3 linked regions of the Oreochromis niloticus genome follow. The main gene of each other region encodes a partner of the protein of the gene in region 2 in a complex. Links are inferred from orthologs where the notes say so. Each region holds a gene or a part of one and is shown on either strand. Other genes may lie near its edges.

Region 1 (7,876 bases), on a different chromosome or scaffold from region 2:
GTGTGTGTCTGTCGCCTGTTTACTCGTTTTATCTTTGGTAGTCTGTTGTCAGCTGTGCTTTGTATTTACTTCCCCTGCCTCGTCCTGTGATTACTGCCAGCTGTTCCTTCTGCTGGCCTCATTACCTCCGGTATTTATCATCTCAGTCTACTCGTGTCCTTTGTCCAGTTCTTCTGCACTGCCGTGTTTTGGCTTTTGTTTCGTTCTGATTTTACCTTCCTCCTCCTCTGTACTGCAAGAATTCCAGCCACTTTCCACACAACAAACCCAAAACACACTACAGTGAGCCTGAGGCCTCACACACTCAGAACTTCAGGTTTTTACTGCAACCCCCCAAACAGGGACCAACCTGAGGTCCATGTGTGAGTGTCTGCTCGACTGATAAAGAAAAAAAAAACTTCACTACGATACCCACAACCCCCTGCAGGCAGCTGATCCAGAGATAAAAGATGAGCCTGAGGTCAGAGTTCAAAGGCTGGCTCAAACTGTTGTGCTTCAAAGACAGCATTCAAAATGAAACTTTATAAACAACAAACTAAAGAACATATTCTGTCACCCCTAAAATCTGATTGAGCCAATCAGATTTTTTCTTTAGTTTGTTGTTTATAAAGTTTGAAGATCACCTGAAACTTTGAGAACTTTGAGAAATCAGCAGGAAAAGCTCAGGCTGTAAGCAACGAGTCAGGAAGCGCTGCTCAAGGCTCTCTGAGCTCTCCCAGAGGAGCAAGCCTTCAATATTTATTTTGTTATCGTTAGCGTGAGTCTGACACTCACTGACCTACGAACTACTGCAGGTAATGTACCCTGCAGTACTGGAGTAGATGTATTAAAGTACTTTGCAGGTGGGTGTGAGGTGACGGGCGTGTCGTGACAGCGCTGAAAGAGGAGCCGGATAAGTCTGAGATTCCTGATTATTATTAGAGACAAGCCGGGAGTCCAGCCGGTGCATGAGGCGAGAAATGATCCGTTTAGGACAGAAACACTTGCATGTGTGCGACACCACCATAACTCCGTACTGACAAACTTGTTGCCATGACGATCAGTCAGTGAGAAAAAGCTGCAGAATTTCACATGAACAGAGGCTCAGTTATGAAACATGATTATAATTTTACCTGCTCTGATGGTTTGTTGGTTAAACACATTCACGTCTGACTACATGACACGTTCAGGGACTCAAAGCTTTCAATGTTCTCACCTCCTCGTAGGTCCACACAGCACTGGCCAGCTCCACACAGAAGATCACCAACAGACTGCCGAAGTACTGAAACACAGGCGGAGACGAGTTTAGTCTGATAATCAACCTAAAACCTTTCTGTCAGAAAGCCGTGAAGCCGACGTCGTCCCCTCCCTCAGTGACAGCCCCGAGGCGTCTGCAGCTCTAAACTCTGAGCAGCACAGTAATGTGTGATGTCTGAAGCTGGTTTTATCTCCTTGTCCACCTGAATAACCTACTCACTCACAAACATGAGTGACATCTACTGTTATGTAATCTCACAACTAACTGAGGTGTGTGTGTTGGAACTGGCTGAGCGGGTTCCCATCATGCCCTGGGGTAGTCCCTGTAGCAGACTGAAGCTCCTCTCAGCAGCTCATCTTTCGGAGACAATCTTATCACCTGTTGGGAACAATGGGGCACCCAACACCTGGCCCTGCCCAATCAGAGCACAGCAAACAGGTGGTGTAGTTCAAACACACAGTTGGGTGGACAGTGTGACCTCTGTGAGCTCTACCTGAGAGTCCAGAGTGGGCTGTGTGTGACATCATACACCTGCACACCTGCTGACAGTGGTGGACTCTGGACTGAGCTCAATCCTCCCATATGCAGGTGTGTGAGGCGGGTGGAGCGTGTGGAGGTAGAGGCTGACCTCTTCACCTTGTTTAGCAGCTGGTGAGCAGATGATGCTCTGATAGGCTGCAGCAGAACCAATTGATAAGAGCTCAGTCTACCTGAGGAGTGTGTCATTATGATGAAGCTTAGGTGAGTCTGCCTCAGTGCTCATAGGGCTTCAGGTTCAGAGACATCAGCTCCAGGTTTCTGATGTTCCCACTTCACTGTGTACGCAAAATGCCAACCCCATCACAGGAAGGCGGGAGCCGCGGGCGCTTGTGTCATGACATCAGTCTCAGTGTAGACCTGTCACAGCTAACACACTGATCAACAGTCATGCAAACATACAGGTAACACACTGACCAACAGTCAGAGCAGCTAACAATGTTTCCTCTGCTGGCTGATTCACAACAGAGACTTCATCTGTGCTTTTCCCAATGTGTCAGACCACTCAGAGACTGTTTCCTGCTCAATGCCAGCTGAATCCAGGACGTGGACTTCCTGCTTCTGATTGTAAAATCTGAGATAAATGTCGTCTTTGGTTAAAGTAAAGATCCTGTCTGAAGTGTCTGATGTGAGCATTCGTACCCAGGAGAGCAGCAGCAGGTCACACCTGAGCGTGCCGCAGTACCCCACCATTGCCACGATGATGAGAAAGCAGCACACGGCAACAATGACGGGGTGAACAGCTGGAGAGTACGTGAGGACGGCAGCTTCCTCCAACCTGCATATACACACACACACATGAATTAGCCTCCATGCTCTGAGCTTCACAAAAGCAGCTGTTTAGTTCACATCTGGATCATCTATCAGAGACAAGGTGTGTCAGATAAAGCTGATTAAAACTTTCAGGTGCTGTCACCTGGTTGGCTCTCATACCTGAGCTGCAAGCCCGGCCAGACTCACCTGGTGTGGGCCGTCAGGGTGAGAACGGTGTTGAGAGAGTCACGGATCCACGCCGCCACTCCCAGCACACATGCTGACATCAGCTGGACACACAGAAATAAACACATGGATATGTTTCTGCTGCCTATAATAACATCTGAGAATGTGAAGCAGGCAGCGAGGAACACCCGGCCTGCTTCACCCCAGCACTGCCTGTCCCTGTACACAGAACTACCACTAAACAGTACTCTCTACACAGAATTACCACTAAACACAGTATTCTGTACACAGAATTACCACTAAACACAGTACTATGTACACAGAATTACCACTAAACACAGCACTCTGTACACAGAACTACCACTAAACACAGTACTCCAGACAAAGAACTACTACTAGACACACAGTACTTTATGCACAGAACTGCCACTAAACACAGTACCTACAGTTACTACAGTAAAATACTGCATTGTTTGACTGCTTTAGTATAATGACTCTAACACACTGATCATTAAAGGGCAATTACACTCTTGTAGTCGTGCGCGTGCCCGCTCCTCTCACCCAGAACAGCAGGTTGAGCGCGTACAGCAGGCAGCGCAGACACCTCACTGCGTCCTCGCGAGCCATCCCGACCGGAGCTCCTCCGCGTGCCGCTCATCTGAGCCCGGGGCACCATGGCAACATGCTCGCTGCACTCACACAGCACGGAGCGCTCAGGAACTGCGCGTGCTCCGTGCGTGAAACCCGCATTCCGTCCCCGCGCGCCCTGGCCCGCTCGGTGACCAGCAGCAGGTGGTCCTCACTGCGCACGCTCCGAACCGGTCACCGCTGTCCGCACACCTCCGCACAGATCCAGACTGTCACAAAATACACGGACACACACACACACACACACACACACACAGAGCTCCGGCAGTCTGCTGCGTAACAATCCGAACCGTCCGCTCCTCTGCTCCTCCTGCTGCTCCTTCTTCACTAATTAAAGCAGCAGCAGCTCCGCCTCCTCCCTCACAGCGTCCGGGGGGAGGACAGAGGAATGTGTCCGCCTCCAGCCGCACAGCCGTGGGGTCAGCAGGCCGAGATTGAGAGGATGAAGCTGCAGGAAACACACAGCGCTTGGAGTGTTTGTCCACATAGTTCTGGTCATAAACTCTTTGCAGCAGCACTTTTTGTCCCGAAATTATGTGGACACTTATTTTAGGCTACCTTGTAATTATTTTCCACATACTTTCTGACTATTTGCACATATATTATTGTGTTACACACGGGACTGCCGGACACTGAACATAAAGACGTAGAAAGAAAAATGTATGACAAAAGTATGTGGACATAAACTTCCACGGAAATACAGTAAGACATATCGTTTGTGTCTACATAATTTTGGCCATTTAGGCTGCCTGTTTGTTTTTCTGCTCACACTTGTGATCAAAATTATGTGAATGCATGTGATTGGCTATCTAAATGGTAAATGGATGGTTCTTATAACACTAATCTAAAACAATATATATACCCAAAAGTATATAGACTAACATGTACACTCATTTTAAAGTTATTAAAATCAATGATAAGAACTTATAATTAATATATGATCATTAAAATAGAATCGCTGCTCGGTTCATGAATAATTATAGTCACATGAAGTGGGATATGTTTAATTAACAGCCGAACATGTGTGAAAACACAAGCGAATGTGGACAGAAGTTACCATACAGCTTATACTGTTTGTCCACATACTTTAAATGTGTTAAATTAGTACCACAACGCACAAATCTAATATTTAATACATGAACAAACATATCTGAACAGAAATGGTGGTGAGATGGATATATTCTTACTATCTCTTTAGTTGTTTCTGTCCACATATTTTTGTAGAAAAGTAAATATAATTTTCAGCTGGTCATTAATGCAATTTTTCAGGTAAAAAAATGTCCCAAAGCTTTGTGTAAATGTGCAGTCGAAATGAAATATTTTACAAGGCTTGAGAAAAACAACCCTCTTGCTTTTTATTTGCAAATAAATAAATAAATAAAGGATTACTGTACTGCCTAAAAGACGTAAATAAATGTAAATACAAATACAATTCCCATGATGCATCTGTCCTGTCAACGCCTGCCTGTATTTGAACCAATCAGAGCGCAGGCAGACGTTTGCGTCAGCATCCATGACCTCCTTTTTTCTGGGTATTTTTTCTGGGCAGACGTTGGCAGGCGGCGCCATATTGAAAGCAGAGAATTGTCGGAGAAAACGGCTGAAAGCTTAAATTAAACACGATGCTGTACCTGGAGGACTACCTGGAGAGTGAGTATGGGACTGCAACGAAGCGGCGGCGGTGTGACAGGGCTCTGCTGCGCGTTAAATATGTGTTATTTACCGGCTAGGTCGGCTCCGGCAGTTAGCCTAGCCGTGCTAGCAGGTAACCGCCTTTTCTTCTCCTGGCAGTGATCGAGCAGCTACCCATGGATCTCCGCGACAGGTTTACGGAAATGAGGGAGATGGACCTGCAGGTTCAGAGTACGTACAACCCCGCCGCCAACGGCGCCACACACCGGCCACACCACACCGGGGACACGCGTGCTGCGGAATGCACACATAGTGGCAGCCCTGCTGGGACTGTCCAAGCAACAGAGTCGCGTCCCGGCGCCGATGAACGCCCGAGCTGCGCTTACTTAATTAGCACATGTTAGCACAGGCGGCTAACGGGCTGAAACCCAGTAGATACCAGCATGAGACTGCAGCACAGCATCCACCTGCAGGGTCACATTCACCTACCTACAGGGACCCCTCCCCTTTAACACTGCCGATCCGAAAGTTCACATTCATGCACATGAAAAGTAAAGTTGCTAATAAAGCAACTTTAAAATGATTATCGCTGTTAGACGCTCACATGAGGTCCTGATCATCATTTTAACACTTTATAAATAAAAAAAATAATCAGTTATATTTGGTCTAAACTGAGATTATTTAACAGGATTTCTGTAAATATTTGGGGGGGGGTTAAGTTTAAATTTAAAAAAAAAAAGGTTTTAGTAAAATATGTTTTGGTAAATTAAGTTGCTGAACAAAATTAATTTTGAACTGAAATTTAAAATGAAGGATTATTAAAATAGTAATCATTTCCTCTAAAATATTTTGTTTCAATCACTGACACAAATTTAATTGGACTTAGACTTAGATAAATTAAACCACTTTCTAAACGTTTGTGTGTGCAGCCAGAAAAAAAAGAACAATGTTGTAACAGTGTTATAAACGCGACTCTGAAAGGTGTAATAATAAATCAGTGTTAGGGATACTCTGAATGAGCCTGTGCTGGGCGCTAGTGCTGTGTGATACTGCAGATTTCAGTATTGATCCAATACCAAATAAATACAGGTCCAGTATTGCTGGACACTTTGCTGTCATTTTTCTATCTGTTTAAACCTCAGGATATTAACCCTTTAAGACCTACCATAAAACCAAGTCTGCCAGAGCTTATCTTCATATTTTTAGATGCTGTAGTGCCATTTTTTGTGAGTATTTCAAGTTGCTATAGTAACTACATGAATTGCAAAAAAGTGCAATAAACTACAAAAGAATGTACAATTGTTTTTGTTTTTTTGTTGTTGTTTTTTTACACATATTTCTAGTTAGAGAAATTTCAGGGGTATATCCCTCAAAACTGTAAATGCAAAAAAGTTGCACAAAATAGTTTCCAACCACAGGAAATTTATTTTGAGTGTATTCATAGTTTTATTTTTGACATACACAAATTTTTATATACTGTAGGAAAAACAAAAGTAAATATTGTAATGCAAATTTGCAAAAAACAGCATGTGCATCAACATAAACTATTTCCAGCAGTGTAATTTGAGTTCTAAGCATCCCAGAAACTGTACAGAAAGCCATAAACATGAATTTTAAAACCACCAGCATATCTTTGTAAATGCCCTATAGGAAAAAAAAACTACATTTTCCGCGAAGATGATGCCACTTCTGGTTTCAGGTAGGTAATGGCGGATGCGCTCATCGTAATTAGCAAAGCGTGTTTCTGGAATACTATGGTTTTGTTGCTGCAAATGCTTTTTACACAATTTTTTTCATTTTCATTAGAGCATAATTCTGCTCTTATATTAGATCCTGGTGGTTTTCAGGTTATTTATTGGTCTTTAGGATCAGCAGACTGAGCTGTGTGAAGTTGTCAGCCTCGGTCCGTGGGCGTTTTCAGTTGGTCTTAAAAATGCACAGACTCTATATAACTTTAAAGTGATGATGAAACCACTTCAGTTTTAATCACATTGGTTCAGAGACACAGATCTGTGACATAACAGGAGCACTCACTGAGTGAGAGCTGGAGAAATAAAGTTAAAATCAAACTTTATTTATACTGCACCATTGAAGCAGGTCAGGTCAGAGAGCATATCCAATCAGTAATCAACAAAATCTGACAAATATTATCCACACATGGCACACTCACTGCTGCAGGTTTCAGCTGGCAGGAAACACTCAGAAACAAATCACATGAGGGAGTGTGGGCCAGGTGAGTCCTCAGCTCTGATTTCATTACAGCTACAGTCCAAAGGTGATCTCCAGGCTCAGAATAAGTCTGCAGTTCACCAGAGAGGAAACACCTGAGGGAGGGCCGCACTCAGACTTTACACACGTGATGTTAAAATGCTGAGTGCTGCATTTTCTCACGTTGTTTCCTGTTTGTTCCTTCAGATGCCACGGATCAGCTGGAGCAGAAGGTCATTGAGTTCTTTGTAAACGCCAAGAAGAACAAACCAGAGTGGAGGGAGGAGCAGATGGAGGTCATTAAAAAGGTCAGAGGTGGCGGATTCTTCTTGTTTCTGTGCGTGTGTGTGTGGATCTTGGGTTAAACCTGCGTGTGTTCTTAGGATTACTACAAAGCTCTGGAAGATGCAGATGAGAAAGTCCAGCTGGCCAATCAGATCTATGACCTGGTGAGTAAAGGTTTCCTTCAGGTGTCACTCAGGTGATCACAGAATGGTAAAGGTGCACATTTAGGCTTAAACGGCTTTAACATGTAGAAATCTGAGGAACCCTCAGTTATTCCACACAGCCGCCACTAGATGGCAGAAAGAGCCTTGAAGAGCCACTAAAAAACCACAAGGAGTTACTTATCCTGCAGTCTGAGAGCATTGTCACTATCACTGAATGATACCAGCT
Region 2 (7,454 bases):
GGGACCACTGACAGAAAGAACAATTAGTTTGTAGCTTGTGTACATCAAAAAGAGCAGAAATATGAGCCCCATCATGATTGCTTTTTCACAGCCTACCTGCTTTCAGTTTGGCCTGGTTCTGTTGACTTGCTTGGTACTGGGCATAAGCTGCCAACTTTGCCATGAGAGGCTGTTTCTGTAAGACTTTGGCCTTTTTTGTTGGTGGTTTGCCCTTGTAAAAATCAAAGCAGATGTTAATATTTACACAATACAAAATTATGAAACTACTATACTTTTTTATCAAAGATAATGAATTTACCTGGAGTCTTGCCAAGATGCTAGCTTTTTTAGAATTTGAGGAATAACTCCTAGAACAGGACACACTGCAGAAACGCTTGGTTTTGGAGTAAAAAGCATCTCGTACACCGACCATCCCACACATCTCACAGGTGGCTGTGAAAACAAACCGAAATACATCAGCAGTCTACAAATGGTAAATGGCATTTATAGTTATCTCCATAAGTATTTGGAAATTGACACAATTGCAATTTTTGCTCTGTACGTGGTAAATGGACTGGTTTTTATATAGCGCCTTTCTACTCTGAATACTAAAAGCTCTTTATAAATCTTTCCTCATTCACCCATTCACATCCAATCGCACAAGTACTTTTTTCTAGGCACTTTCTATGCAAGTTCTTCCTACCCAACATTCATACACATTCATTGTCCGGTGGATGCATCGGAGAACAACTTGGGGTTATTATCTTGGCCAAGGATATTTGGCATGTAGAATGGAGCAGAAGGGGACCGAGCCACCCCATCACTACAGTGGATTTTAAATTAACCAAATGTGATTTAAATGAAAATTTTTAGATTTAATTCAAAGGGTATACCAAAAGTAATGCATTAACTGTTTAGGTAATTCAATATCTTGGCCAAGGATATTTGCACATATGAACGTTGAGGAGCTGAGGCTCAAACTAATAATCGTTATACTTCCTGAGCCACAGCAGCTAAACGTAAACACTATTATTGTTCACTCACAGATTGATATTTAAGCAACACACACAAAAAAAGCCTCATGTACTGACCCATTCCAGCCTTTCCATCAGGGTAGGTGTAGACTTGTCCATTGTTCTTGATGATGGGCAGACTAGCAGGGATGGAGGGTACCACCTCATCCTCACTGTCGTCTGAGCTAGAGCTGCTGGTGGACTCCTCGCTGCAGCTGTCATAGCCATCAAACATCCCGAATGAGTCTCGTCGCTTACGATCTGAACGTGGGGTACGCTCAGCCTTTACAGATGAGGACACAACAGAGAAACACTGAATGAATTCATATGGATGCTTTTAGGGGTGTCTGTAGCTCAGGAGGTTCTCCTCTCCATTTCTCCATATAATGTAACACGTTTACTTTGGCGTTGTTCAGAGAAAGCAGTGAAATTGGTCTAAGAGAAGGTAACTGTTCAGAAAAACATATTTCATTCAAGTCATTTTATTTTACTCCATTCCCTTTTGAGTTATTTTACTTTACTAAAACTTAATAAAAGAAAAATAAAGCTGCATTCTCATACTTCTATTCTTTTAAGCTATTGCACTTTATTTTAACAGCTCCTTACAAATGTCCTTGTTCTGTGGTCCTGGAGTTTAGCCACACAAACTAGCCAAACATTTGTCTTTAGTGCAGAAGGGATGCCCAGTTTTTTTATTTATTTTTTAACAGTGGCGCTCTTCAAATTAAATATACCATGGTTTTTAATATTAATAAAATTAACCTTTTCTTCAAACATATAATGGTGAAAGCACAGCAATAATAGTGCCTTAAAATAATTCTTATTACTGTTAATCTCAATCTCTGTGCGAATCAATACAAAAAAACGAAAATACTTAAAACAACTTTTGTGAGGAAGCGAGAAAGGAAATATTGCTCTAAGGCAATCTTGGGCGGTAGGAAGGGGAAGAATGGGGGAGCAGACGCAGTCTGCAATAGTTGCAAAAGAAATGGTTTGATTGCAATGGTTGATGCAAAAAATAATAATGGACCAGAAGAAAATAAAGATTCAAATCTTCTTGGTTCACATTTTTATTATTTTTTATCAATATTCTTTCCATTTTTTATGAGCATTTGTAAGATGTTTTAGACAAATGTAAACAAAAATCAACTCCCTAAGCTAAATTTTAGTATTGAAGTGAAGCTGAACTTGTTTTAGTTGAAAGATGTATTTTTACAGTTCGCCTTTCATCATTAATGCATCATTTAGATTCAGGTAGGAAAATATCAGCGAACCATATCTGAGTCAGCATGACTTTTTTCGAAACGCCCAAAAATCTCTAAATAAATGAATAAATACTACGTGAAAGTATGGAAGTCTGATCACAGGATCCGGAACAATGCGTACATGTTGTCAAAGCTAGTTTACTTCCTCTTCACAGCATCTCAGCCCAAACATTACACTACGCGCAACAGTTTAACTTAAAAAAAATAAAAAATAAAAAAAATAAATCAAGACACCCATTTCCAAAGACATCCTTTGTAAGCTACATTTTACATACATATATACTGGAAAAGTAAACTAATACCGAAACTAAAATAAGGGACGGCCTTATTACAAACACCTCCTAAAGCTAAACAGCACTAGCAGAGCTAGCTAGCAGAACCTGTTTTTCCAGGGGGGGGGTTTCAGAACAAAGCCTTTTTACGTTCGTCTATTAACGTATAGTTGCAATAGTTAGACTTGTAAGAAAACTCTACTCGTTTTTTTTTTGAGAGAGAGCGAGAGAGAGAAAAGAAAGAGCTTTAGTATTATGTGTAGATGGGTGAGCCACTAGCTGGCTATCGTAAACAGATAACAACAAAGGAGGCGTACTACCCTGAACAATCCACTGGAATCGGAGGCTCGCGGCCCAAAAATGTTTCAAACCAACTCACCAAATCCCTTGCGTTTTCCATCAGCCCTTCATATAGCTGTTCTTCCAGTTACCTGCACTTCCTAATTCAAACAAATCCCCTCACCTGGGGTATAACCTAGCTTTGAATTTTAGTCGAAATACTACCAAGCAGGATATCAACAAATTACTCTGCAGCCTCTGCGCATGAGCGACCGTAACCTACTTTCATGTGATTGGTGGATCTGCAATGGAGGTCATCGACCGATGCAGACACAAAATAATAGACTTTGCAGAGTAACTGAATGAAAGGGGCCTTCAGAACAACTACAGATTATCAGTAGGTGTAAATACAGAAACGTTACAGTAATTTCTATGGTTTTGTTTTGTTTATAACTAGCTCCTGACTTTCATTTGGAATTTTTCCATATAAAAAGAACTTCAAAATAAAATACAGTAGTACATGTGAAGTAAAATAAATATTTTATTAGGATATAGTGACATTATTACATTTTCGAAGACAATCTTTCTTGTGAAAGATTTCTACAGTAGATGCAATATATTCACATTGAACAAAATCTGAGAACCACATTCAATAACACTTTAGCTTTTAACTTCCAAAATATATTCACTTAAGCCTGATAATGGGCATAGTTTTTTTGATATACATACAAGTACAGCAAGAAACTAAACAATATTAACCACAAACCAAATGAACTTTGCTCCAGTAATTCCAATCACAGTGCTTTTCAGTAATAATACTGGCATTCTAGATTTATTCTTTTCCCTGTTCCTTGAACACAAAATTTGGCAAAGCAGAACGAAACATTAAACAAAAAACAAAGAATTATTTGCTGAAGTAACAACAACAAAGTGATAATGGCTGGAAGAACTGCTGCACACTCATCAAGTAGGTAAGGCTTCAGGAAGAGGGTTTATGTAATCAAGTTTAGGTTTAGGTTAGGCAAAGCTCTACATCATCATTAGGGCTGATGCTGAGGAGTAGATGTTGAGGACTGCTAAAGAAAAGTTCATCATTTTTAGACATAATGGTTCACACAAGAGCGTTCACTAGCAAATGTTCAGAATCAGACATCAAACTGGGAGAAGATACCTTGGTTTTTTGAATATCTTTGGTCTCACAGCAACTCGTCCTCCACAACATCATCAACACTTCCTGATATAGAGGCAGCTTCTGAGGTGCAAGAAGGAAACACTCAAGTTAACAATGACTGTAACAGCAGCTTCAACTCTTTTTGTTTATCCACCATGGTACAAAAGCTTGACAGAGTCATGGTGACACTGTCCCTTTTGTTTCACTATGTTATATTTCCTGATTTGTTGGAGATAAACTACAAATTGCACTGAATACAAGTATTCTGAGCATTAGGGTCAAGTTAATTGATCCTAACCAAAATGTATATTGTTGAGTTCATTTCTTCTTGAGACACTTTAGAAAGTTGATTTAACAGAACTGCATTCCTGTTAATTTTCCACCACATGGGGGCATACACTACCTCTCTGTAGGTTTAAGAAGTGTCCCAAGTCAAGAATCTGATCCAATGTGGACATCACTTGGATATTCTATTGTATTTAGAAACCTAGATAACATTTCTACTTCAACATACAATCCCAGTAACATAAGGGTATGAGGGTTACTTTATGATCGCTTAAACATAGTCACTGGCAAATCTCAAATTACAGTTCCATGACAGAACTCACCTGATAAACTGATACAGGAAAGACTGAGCTCTGATGATGCTCCTATTACATCATCCTGTTGGAAGAATAAAAGTGATTAGCCGCTGTTAACCAGTTCTTCAAACTTTCAGAACAGAAGTAAGGGGATTACCTAATCTCTCAGGCATAAAGATAAGTTAAAATAATAATAATAAAAAATGACAGAGTACCTTGTCGGATACAGTTGGACAGAGATTATGAAGCGCTTTGAGGCGACTTTTGTGATTTGGCGCTATATAAATAAAATTGAATTGAATTGAATTGAATGGCATCAGTCTTGCAGCCTGCAAGTCATGGCTGCAAGTCAGGGTTGTTGTCAGTCGGTGGAGGTTAACTGAGGGAGTCTGGATTCCCAAAAATTAGAATTCCACAATCATCCAAGTAGTTTTGATCTATCTCTCTGTTTAGTGTTGATTTTTCCAGGATTTTTTCCCGCTGGCTTACAGATGTCCTGTTCAAGATTAAGTATATTGATACCCTATTTTTGTCCAGGAAGAAGTAAGAGACGCTGCAAGACACAAAAAGCAGAATCAGTAACTTACCAGCATCATCTGCAGACAGCCAAGATTGCAGCCCTCTTTTTTTCCATTCAAATCTTCATGGAAGATAACGGCATAGCCCAATCGTATAAGCTCCTCTCCAACATCCACAGTCTTTTTTACATGATATGCACATGGAAAGAGGAGACAGGGTAAAGGACAAACCAAATACAGGCTTATTAAAGTCTTATTATTAAGAAATAAAATCCTATCTAACCTTGCCCTCACTGTTGTCATAGAGCTTGACACTGGGCCATGAGGAGATTTCCGAGTGAGAGTAGCTGCACAGTTTGGCCTGCAGGGGTCTCCAAGAGGCACAATATGTCAGCCTCTCAAACTGATCCAGGGCTTCCTCAGTCCAAACCCCTCCTGCATGACAGGTTGATGGAGGAAAGAGACTGAAATAATCAAGAATTCAAGAACAATGCACTGCAGAATACTAAAAGACCTCAGTATATCCTCTGCATTGATTGTGCCACCGTAACATCATCACACAGTCAGTTTTATTTATGTTCCCCAGTAAGGTAAGTCTGAGTGATATAGCGAATGTAGTTTTTTCACTTATGATGGTTAAAATGGCTCTATTGTAACCATCGAGTATAAACTGCCATGGTTATATTAAGCTGTCTGCAGTTTTTTTTCTCCCACATGCTACAAATGCATCACTAATCCCACCTCCCCAGACGTTTTTCTACCTGGCACACTGCGCTGAGCATGCGCGTTTATATACTGCCAAATAGGAAAAAATATGGTGACAGTGAGAGTCTCAGACAAGCAAGGAAATGAGACTGTAACTGAACAGGAGCCAGACAAGATAGTTCCAAAGAGAAACAGCACTGGATCAATAATCTGGCAGTGGTTTGGATTTCGCAAGGAGGATGTCGAACCTGAATGTGGAACATGGTATTTAGTACTAGTGGAAATGTGGTCACATGTCACCAAGCTTCACTCAAACCTGGAGGTGTTGACAGGCTTGTGTTGTTGGCACAGAACTTACACACCTTAAACACTGATGAGAGTGTTCTTTTTCAGGAGTACAAGTCACAATCCTTCATTATACCTTAGCTTTGTGATTATTTTACCAATATGCGTGGTGTGTTTTGTTGTTTAAAATCTAGAACAGAAAGCGCAATCATTATTTAGGTTGTTTTGAGATGCTCTAATACCTGTGACATGACTGTTGTTGTTCAGTGGTTTTTCAGGCATTGTCTGAACTTGGAACAGTTTTCCATTTTACCACTTTTTGTTGTTTAAACTTCCTAGCACATATAGAGCCGATAGTTCTGAGACACTCTGATACCTCTGACAGTTTTTGGTGAATGGCTTTTATAGACATTAACTACACTTTTGTTTCTGTAGGTCATCACATTTTACAGTTTTTATATGCTATAAGCACAGAGAACACCTTTTTAATTTCAATTGTTTCACTTTGTCTCGTGAATTCTTGCTTACTTTTTTTGTTAAAGGGTTCGTGTTGACAACAGAAAGAGACATACTGTGAGAATATTGTCATTTGTGAAAAACTTCTGTGTGCAACTGATGGTTAAAATAAAACATATTTTTTGGCTATATCACAACACATGATATATACACGACCAGACAAAAGAACGCCAAAATGGTAATGCCAGTGGACGTGATATGAATTTCACTGCACAACACAGTGTGACAGGAGGTAAGCAGTGGGCATAAAAGTGCCCTTATGTCCTCATGTACCAGCAAGTGTGTGACAAAGTGTGTATGTGTGTGTGTGTTTGGGAAAGAGTGTGTATGTAAGAGAGAGGTGTAAGAAAGAGGGAAAGGTAGTGAAAGGGTAAGAGACAGTGAGTGAATGAGCAAGTGAGAGAGAGAGAAAAAGAAAGACAGTCATTGTCAAGATGAGAGCTTTACCTTTTGGCTTCACTCCTGCTAAGCTGCACTCAATAGCTTGAAATGGTAAACTGAGGAAGTCGCTCCTGAAAATTGCAGCATATGCAAAAGCTGTTAATAAGCCATGTCCTTTTTTATCCACATTACATCCAACATTTTACAGTGTGCAGTAGCAGTATGTCACATCACAAGTTCTTCCACAGTTCGATGAAGAGGTGTACAAAGCAACACTCACAGCATGAGCTAACATAGAAATGCAGAATTTAAAATTGTGTGCTCTTTAAAATCAGTAACTCACCAGCCTCCTCTGAAGACAGCCAGTCTGTCTCATGCTGATATGACGGTCACAAACAACAAAACTGCACTTGTACCAGGTTATATTTTTCTTTGTAATACTTCAATAAAAACATTGCTGATTGTAACCCATTTCAAAGTAATGTGTTA
Region 3 (7,575 bases), on a different chromosome or scaffold from region 2:
GGTCAGCCTGATGCAACTTTTGTCTGGTAACACTCAACAGATAAAGGAGAAGCGGTGAAGCGATAATCTCAGACAGAGGAGATGGATTCTGTTGAATGAACTGCAATATCAATTCACCGAGAAGTTAAAATCTTAATTTAATATCTTTATTTTGTCGTTGGTTGTTTACATTAGAGGGGAATGTGTTTTTTAAACTAATCCACAGTGTGGAGGTTTGTCGCTGAGCTTTGAGAACTGTAACAAAATAATGAGCTCAGATTTTCAACTCCCAGCCTCCCTCAGTGAATCGCTCAGGTGTCGAGGTTTCAGACGGATGATTTTGGAAAGTACTTCAGATGTGAATCTGGCCTAAATGTCACATCAGTGAGGATAAAGGAGAAAAATTATGAAACTGATGAATGAAAGGTATTATATGATCTGAAATTATTAACACTTAAAGTCAGTCAAAAGCACATTTCTCAATATTTCCAGGACTACAAATAAAGGAAACTCTATCAGAACACCTGAGGTCCTATAAGGTTTTTTTTTTCCTTAACTCTTGTGTGAAATAAACGACAAAATATCACCTTACAAGTCTGCAGGGGTACGAGCTGTTTCCATATACACCTCCTGTTTGTCAAGAACAAAAGGATCACATTATTAACTAGTGGGTTTAGTTACGAGCGAACAAACTTTTTCCACGTGTAATAAATTGTTCTTTTTCAATATACATTAAAGGTCTTTGTGTAATGTTATTATGGCTTGGATTTAAAATTATAAATCTATTTTTTTCACATTCATCTTTATTGGCTTATCTAGTCAAAATGCATGATCATGCAGGAGTGATAATTTTTCCCATAGAAGACCACAAATCGTATTAATTGTGTTCTCTTCATATTTGGGGGTGTGTGGGGGGGTGGTGGTGTCTAAAACGCTTAGACAAGCAAATTAATAAATAGAAAGAAAAGAAGACGTACGTATCGTGCCAAGTGCTTGGCAACCATATTGCCACATAACTGAGGATAAGTGGCTTCTTTCAGCATCGTGACTGAATCAAATAGTCACATTTGCTGTTTATCCTAATTAGAGCCATTTAGTTAATCTTCTAGAGAGGGAGCTGGAATGGAGATGAGCAACGAAAGAGCTGAATACCAAGTTTTATTAAAAAAAAACAACAAAAACCACACACACACACAACAAAAACACAAAAACTGTTGGAGCCCGCCCGACACTATACTTAATGTTGTGTAGGAACAACATTATTTCTTTTAGCCATGGAATTATGAGAGTGGGGAAGCTTTGTCTCCTTCCACTGAAGTGAGGCACTTTAATACTTTCCCTGTTGATGTAAATTCTTCTGGCACATAGAGCTCAAAGGAGGAGTTTGAGAGTTTTAGGGAGTAAATCAAAGAACGAGGATCAAATGAACATCTGCCACATTCATCGCTTGTGTTAAACAGGTTTTTGTAAATTAAAGTGTATTCTATGTAGAGTTTAAACTGAATTAAAGTCAGACTGGCATAAGATAAAGTGGATTTAACCCAATCAAGAGATCTCTGCCACCATCCATGTGACAAGTTGACATCCAATTCTTCTTTTCTCTATTCCTAACTGGCAGTGGTGATACAAAAATAATAATTTAAGATTAAAAAAATGTATACAGAAAGACCCATGACTCCTTTCACCTGTGATTCACTTTATCTATCCCCTCACTCGTACACACAGGTCACCAGATGTTCGAGAGGAGCGCCGTCCACCAACGGCTTTGCTGGGGAGCTCTCTACCTGCTGGCAGCAGGGGTGGCTTTGACATCTGAGACGCGTTGGCTGTGTCCGCCATCCTGCCACTGTAACGCTACGGCGCTGGAAGTGAACTGCTCTGGTGGCCAACTTACCAGAGTTCCTGATGGTCTCTCACAGGAAGCCAGGCTGCTAAACTTAACCCAAAACACACTCAAGACTTTGGTGCGTCAGCAGTTCCACACGCTGACACAGCTGTCGGACTTGGATTTAAGTGACAATCTTTTGGTAATAATTGAAGTGGAAGCCTTTCTTGGCTTGCAGAGTCTGAGAACTCTGCGCCTTTGTCGCAATCATCTGAAGATTATCCCAGTGGGAGCGTTTGCTGGCTTAACAAACCTCCAGTTACTGGACGTAAGCAGCAATCAGCTTCTTGTTTTCCTCGACTTTACTTTCAGTGAATTAAACGCCCTGCGGTTCATGAAAGCTGCAGATAATGACTTGGTTTATGTCTCTCATCAAGCTTTTACAGGACTAACCAGTCTGCAGGAGCTGCACCTTGATGGCTGCAACCTAACTGCTATGCCAGCAGAGGCGCTCACACAACTTAGCGTGCTGAGAAGCCTTAGTTTTCACCGACTGGGCCTCACTACGCTGCCAAACTACTCTTTCCGCCACCTAGTCCACCTAAAGGAACTTGTCATTTCTCATTGCCCCTGGCTGGAGAGTCTGTCAGGAAACAGTCTCTTTGGCTTAAACCTCACATCACTAACCATTAAACATGGCAACCTAAGTGCCTTTCCCTACATCCCTTTACATCACCTTGTATATCTCGTATACCTTGACCTTTCTTTTAACCCCATCACCTACATTCATGCAAACCTTCTTGGAGACTTGCTCCGGCTCCAAGAGTTACATCTTGTTGGGGGATCGCTGCTTAGGATTGAAATCGGAGCATTCAAGGGTTTGGCCCACTTCAGATTGCTGAATGCATCCAGAAACCATCTTACCACACTTGAGGTTGGAGCTTTTTATTCAGTGGACACCCTAAGAACTCTGGGGCTTGATAACAACCCACTGGCATGTGACTGCCGTTTGCTTTGGGTGGTGCAAAGGCGACTCTACATGGACTTTGGTGAAAGTCCGCCAACTTGCATTACCTCAGTCCAGCTGCAGGGCTGGAATTTTCTGGATTTCCCTGAGGCTGAGCTGCCGGATTTGCTCACCTGTCGGCCACCTCGAATTCTGAACCGCAAAGCTCAGGTGATGAAAGTAGATCAGGGACACACAGTGGTGTTTCACTGCAGTGCCGAAGGTGACCCTCTGCCATCTGTCAGATGGCTAAACCCACAGCTAAGATCTTTATCACCCATCGGCAGAGTACGAGCTCTGTCCAATGGCTCGCTGGAGGTTCGCTATGCTCAGCCTCAAGACAGTGGCAAGTATCTCTGCGTGGCATCAAACGCAGCGGGAAACGACAGCCTGCCCGTTAGCCTTCATGTCCAAACCTTTCCATCATCTTCTAAGAAACCATTTCGTCTTAAAGGTTGGTCTGCCTTTCCATCTGCTGCTCCAGGTGTGAATGGAAATCAGAAACTCCATTTTGATGTAAAGACGCTACTGATAGCAGCAACCATAGGGTTTCTCTCATTTTTCAGCTCTGTGAGTGTTTGTTTCATTTTCATGTTCTTCTGGAGTAAGGGCAAAGGTCAGATAAAACACACAGCCACGATCGCGTATGTGCCACGAAGCGCCATGTCGAGCAGTAATGGAGGGACAAGCAGCTATATGGAAACGGGGAGGTTTACCATGAAGCTGTTATGAGTCAATAAGCAAAGAATATATTCACCTGATATGAGTAGGTATCAGTGAATAAACTGCAAGATGCTTCAATTTATTTGTTTTTTGCTTGAATCTGATAATAATGAGCATGAAATCTTAATTAATAGTATTTTAAATTGCATTTAAGAAATGTGACCTGACAAACCATGATCATGTTTATCTTGAAACACAAAAAATAAGGAAATGAGGATAAAATAAATTAAAGAGTGAACTTAAAATAACAGTTACATTGGACTTCGGGTGGACTATTTGGACTGATGAGATATGGAGAATCTAACAATAGGGGTATTAACCTTATATTAAGGTTAATGTGCAGGTTATTGTGTAGCTTCTTTTCTGTAGCATGTTGTTTTTTCTTGATTAATTTCTGCACTGTTTATTATTTAATAAATGTGTGAAATGCAAGTTGGTTGTTTTTTTAAAAATTCTGCTATCCAAGAACTTGGAAAAATTAAAGTGATTATGCTTTCACAAATTTGGTGTACTTACTTAAAAATTTACAGCACTACAGCATCCAGTGAGGAGCAGCACACACAGCACTTGGTTTAATGCGTCTATATTTGAACTGCAAGGTTTAAAAAATCTCCATAAGCAGTTTTGTACTTACATTGTGGGCAAGTAGACCGTAATACTTAACTTACCTTCACCGGTGAGTGGAGCTGGCTGCAATAACTGACAACTAAAACGGTAAGGGGTGGATATAATTTTTAGTTCAGGCTAACAATAAACAAATATAATAAATAAATGCGTAATAAATAAATGACTTTAACAGTAGATAGAGACTGCTGAGTAGTGCAGTCATTATCGTGCTTACAAAAATTACAGAGTTGCCATGACAACGCATACGCACACATACCTCACAGTTTCCTGAAACAGTTATTCAATTTTTGAATAAAATATTTCCTAATAGAAGCTTCGCATTAACTGCGTAATTGATTATTTTTTTCCATGTCAAGCCAGACAACTAAAATAAACTGTTAGTCCGCCCGCTAGCCCGGAAGTAGATCAACAGTCCCGGATATGGTTGCTTGCTAAACGAGAGCTACCGGTCAGTTGTACATTTCATTTGTCAGTGTTTATCGCCTCTTATAAGAAAAATTATAAAGTATCCCTTGAATTTAAAAGGGTCTACAAATATGGGCACCTACATACAATTAAGCAAATATACTGAGTAACGACGAGGTCAAAGAGGTTCCCGCAAAACGATCTATATCTTTTAGCGTAACATAACGAGCTAAGTAGCTTAGCATTGATTAGCATAGTTTGGAAAGCACAATCATGAGCCTCGCAGTTGGCCGCGAACCCAGAAAGACTGCGGGAAACCGTATGTCCAAACTACTGGATGCTGAAGAAGAGGATGAGTTCTACAAGACCACTTACGGAGGGTTCAACGATGTGAGTAACCAAACTGATAAACACAGAGCGCGATAAAGAGTTAGCATTAGCCGGCTCCAGTGTTAATGACTAGAGCCTAAAAACAAAGTTTGTTCTGCGCGCAATACCTGAATTACCGCTTCTCGTTTTTAGGGAATTTGGTTCATGTCTATTTGCTGCCTGACAATGAAGCAAGCAGCCAACTCACTTTTATATTTATACATTTATATTATTTACAAATTAGTATAACGGAAGAATTTAGTTTCTGCCAGGCTACTGACCATGCACTAGTACAGGAGACATCTCTCACGATTTTGAGACTGACATGACTGGGAGTGGGTCTCACTGATATAAATCAGACTCTCACAGCATTACACGATCCAGACCTTTTAGACAAGCCAGCACGTCTTCACACGTTTATTTTAATATTAAATCCTAATGAGAGTATCATATATGGCAGGGCTGCTGCATTATACTTCAATACTTTTAAAGAGTTTGTCAGGAAACTCTTGACTAAAGGGTTATGTGCATGTAAACAGCAATTTTAAAAGCTATTCTAGTTTTATCAGGTTCTTGCTAGGGCAGATCAATTAAATGTATTTATTTATTTATTTTTATTAATTTGTTGGGGTTTATTGGATTTTGTATAAATCCAATAAAATAAATTAATTAATTAATTTAGCAGTAAAAAATAAATTTAGCAGTCCATCACTGAAAGCACTTACTTCCTCTCTACTAGGCTGAGGCTGTGGTTCAAAAGTGAATTAACTCTCACTGGTAATTGGGGAGTCATGTTTGATTGTGATTTTTAACAGTAACCATTCCTGCCATCATTTCCGTAGTGATGTTGAAAAACAATCTCATCAGATTTTGGATTTTGACAAGAGAGAAAACTGAGCTGAGTGTGAAAGCGAAGCTGTCGATTTTACCAGTCGATCTGTGTTCCTACCCTCGCTATGACCACGAGCTGTGGGCAAGAACGAGATTGCAAATGCAAGCGTCAGAAATCAGTTTCCTCCAAATGGTGTCTGGGCTTTAGAGAAAGAATGAGGAGTTCAGTGATTTCAGTATAGCGTCTACTTTACATATCAGAAGGAGCCGGTTGGGGTGGGTCAAGAATTGGATTATGATGCCTCCTAGGGGAGGTGTTTCGAGTGTGTATTAGCAGGAGGTGGCCCTGGAGCAGACCCGGTAGAGGGAGGTCTGGGGCTTCTCTACTAACACTGCTGCGCCTATTACCTGGACCTGGATTAGCAGCACAAAATGGAAAGATAAATGGAGAAAGCTCGTCATTAGGCTGGGGTTCTCAGATCTGAGAGTACAGTTTTGGAACTATAAGAGAAATGAGGTGAATTAAAAGGACACATCTAAAAATGAGTGTGTCTTGCCACTGTTCATTCGAAATGGTGACCATGGCTTAGTTTAGAGTTGGCCTTACAATTATAGTTTGAACACCAGCTGTAAACAGAGCCTAGATGATGCCAGCTTTTCCCGCTTCACGCTTGAAGAGAGAAGAAAGTTGTGTGATATTGTTTGTCAGAACATTTGATGCTGTAGCAATCTCACACGTTATGGCTTGCTTTTGAAGATGCTAATTTGTTTCCTCAATTTACAGTGTGGCTAATTTTCTTCAAACAGCTGCTGGTTCAGGGGCCACCTTGTGTAGGGGGATTTGGCACCGGCAGCTCTGGCAGTTCTGACAAGAGTGGCTTCATAAAAAAATCACAAACAGATCCTGAGATGCCTCAGTCATCTCTGCTGGGACTTTGATAAAGCACTGTGAACGTGCCTGTGTGTGCACACGCATCCTTTATCTGTGCAGTTTTCAGGGATATTTTTGTCTTGTGCTGCTTTCTAAATCTTTCCTGTCATTGGATGTTGGGTTTCAAAATGACCCACATTTGTTTTAATAAATTTGAAAATTCACATTGTTAGTGCGCATAATGCATTTGTGTTATTTTATTTATCTTTGCACCTGGTTTGGGCTTAAGGCTTGAGTTTGAGTTTTGCTTGAGTTTTGTGATGTAGCTTTGACAATGAGGGAAAACATCTTTAATAAAAATAAATAACCTGTTTATTATTAAATCTCTTAATGGGATGTGACTTTGAATACATTGCTACACACTTGCCAGATAGAAATGTGTGAGATTTTAATCAATAGGCCTGAAAACTACACTTAGAAAAAATGCAGGGGAAATTTGGTGTTTGCTGTTATGTCTCAGATTACTTGCAGATGGTTTGTTCTGTTGTTCTTTTCCTGATTTTATTTATTGCTCCTTTTTTTTGTCTTTCAGGAATCGGGAGATGATGAGTATCACGGAGAACATTCAGATACAGAGGACGAAGTTGACAGTGACTTCGACATCGATGAAGGTGACGAGCCGGACAGTGACCAGGAGGAGGACGCACCTCGGAGGAAAAGCCGGGTTGTCACCAAAGCTTACAAGGTACTGCAGGACCAATCAAACTTTGAGTTAAGCTGAATTCAATTGCCCTAATACCATGTGTCATCATGTATCACTTTGCTGCGGATTTGAAACACAAAGATGGAAACTATTTGGTTTTCCCTTAAAAAAAGAAAAAGGAAAAGTACTATTTAGCACCTTTCTTTTAATCCCTGTGTTGTCCTTCAGCCCCACAT

Evidence for each region.
Region 1: mbtd1 (region 2) and ing3 share a complex: the UniProt entries of both Homo sapiens proteins name them as parts of the nuA4 histone acetyltransferase complex. The link is inferred for Oreochromis niloticus from reciprocal best matches to the Homo sapiens genes MBTD1 and ING3.
Region 3: mbtd1 (region 2) and vps72a share a complex: the UniProt entries of both Homo sapiens proteins name them as parts of the nuA4 histone acetyltransferase complex. The link is inferred for Oreochromis niloticus from reciprocal best matches to the Homo sapiens genes MBTD1 and VPS72.

Annotation. Positions count from the first base shown.
Region 1 is NC_031981.2:22,999,850-23,007,725, forward strand, and holds the start of ing3 (inhibitor of growth protein 3), read left to right. Parts: upstream 1-4,851; 5' UTR 4,852-4,983; coding exon 4,984-5,011; intron 5,012-5,152; coding exon 5,153-5,224; intron 5,225-7,408; coding exon 7,409-7,509; intron 7,510-7,584; coding exon 7,585-7,650; intron 7,651-7,876. Other genes in the region: tspan12 (tetraspanin-12), read right to left, coding at 1,196-1,261, 2,417-2,552, 2,735-2,817, 3,240-3,389. UniProt on the Homo sapiens protein: Component of the NuA4 histone acetyltransferase (HAT) complex which is involved in transcriptional activation of select genes principally by acetylation of nucleosomal histones H4 and H2A.
Region 2 is NC_031973.2:29,982,654-29,990,107, reverse strand, and holds the start of mbtd1 (MBT domain-containing protein 1), read right to left. Parts: upstream 3,091-7,454; 5' UTR 2,930-3,090; coding exon 2,909-2,929; intron 1,276-2,908; coding exon 1,071-1,275; intron 433-1,070; coding exon 299-432; intron 212-298; coding exon 97-211; intron 8-96; coding exon 1-7. Other genes in the region: tdrkh (tudor and KH domain-containing protein), read right to left, coding at 4,005-4,060, 4,588-4,642, 5,148-5,258, 5,362-5,513, 7,032-7,096. UniProt on the Homo sapiens protein: Chromatin reader component of the NuA4 histone acetyltransferase complex, a multiprotein complex involved in transcriptional activation of select genes principally by acetylation of nucleosomal histones H4 and H2A.
Region 3 is NC_031985.2:19,712,433-19,720,007, reverse strand, and holds the start of vps72a (vacuolar protein sorting 72 homolog a), read left to right. Parts: upstream 1-4,555; 5' UTR 4,556-4,838; coding exon 4,839-4,955; intron 4,956-7,228; coding exon 7,229-7,381; intron 7,382-7,575. Other genes in the region: leucine-rich repeat and immunoglobulin-like domain-containing nogo receptor-interacting protein 1, read left to right, coding at 1,713-3,542. UniProt on the Homo sapiens protein: Deposition-and-exchange histone chaperone specific for H2AZ1, specifically chaperones H2AZ1 and deposits it into nucleosomes.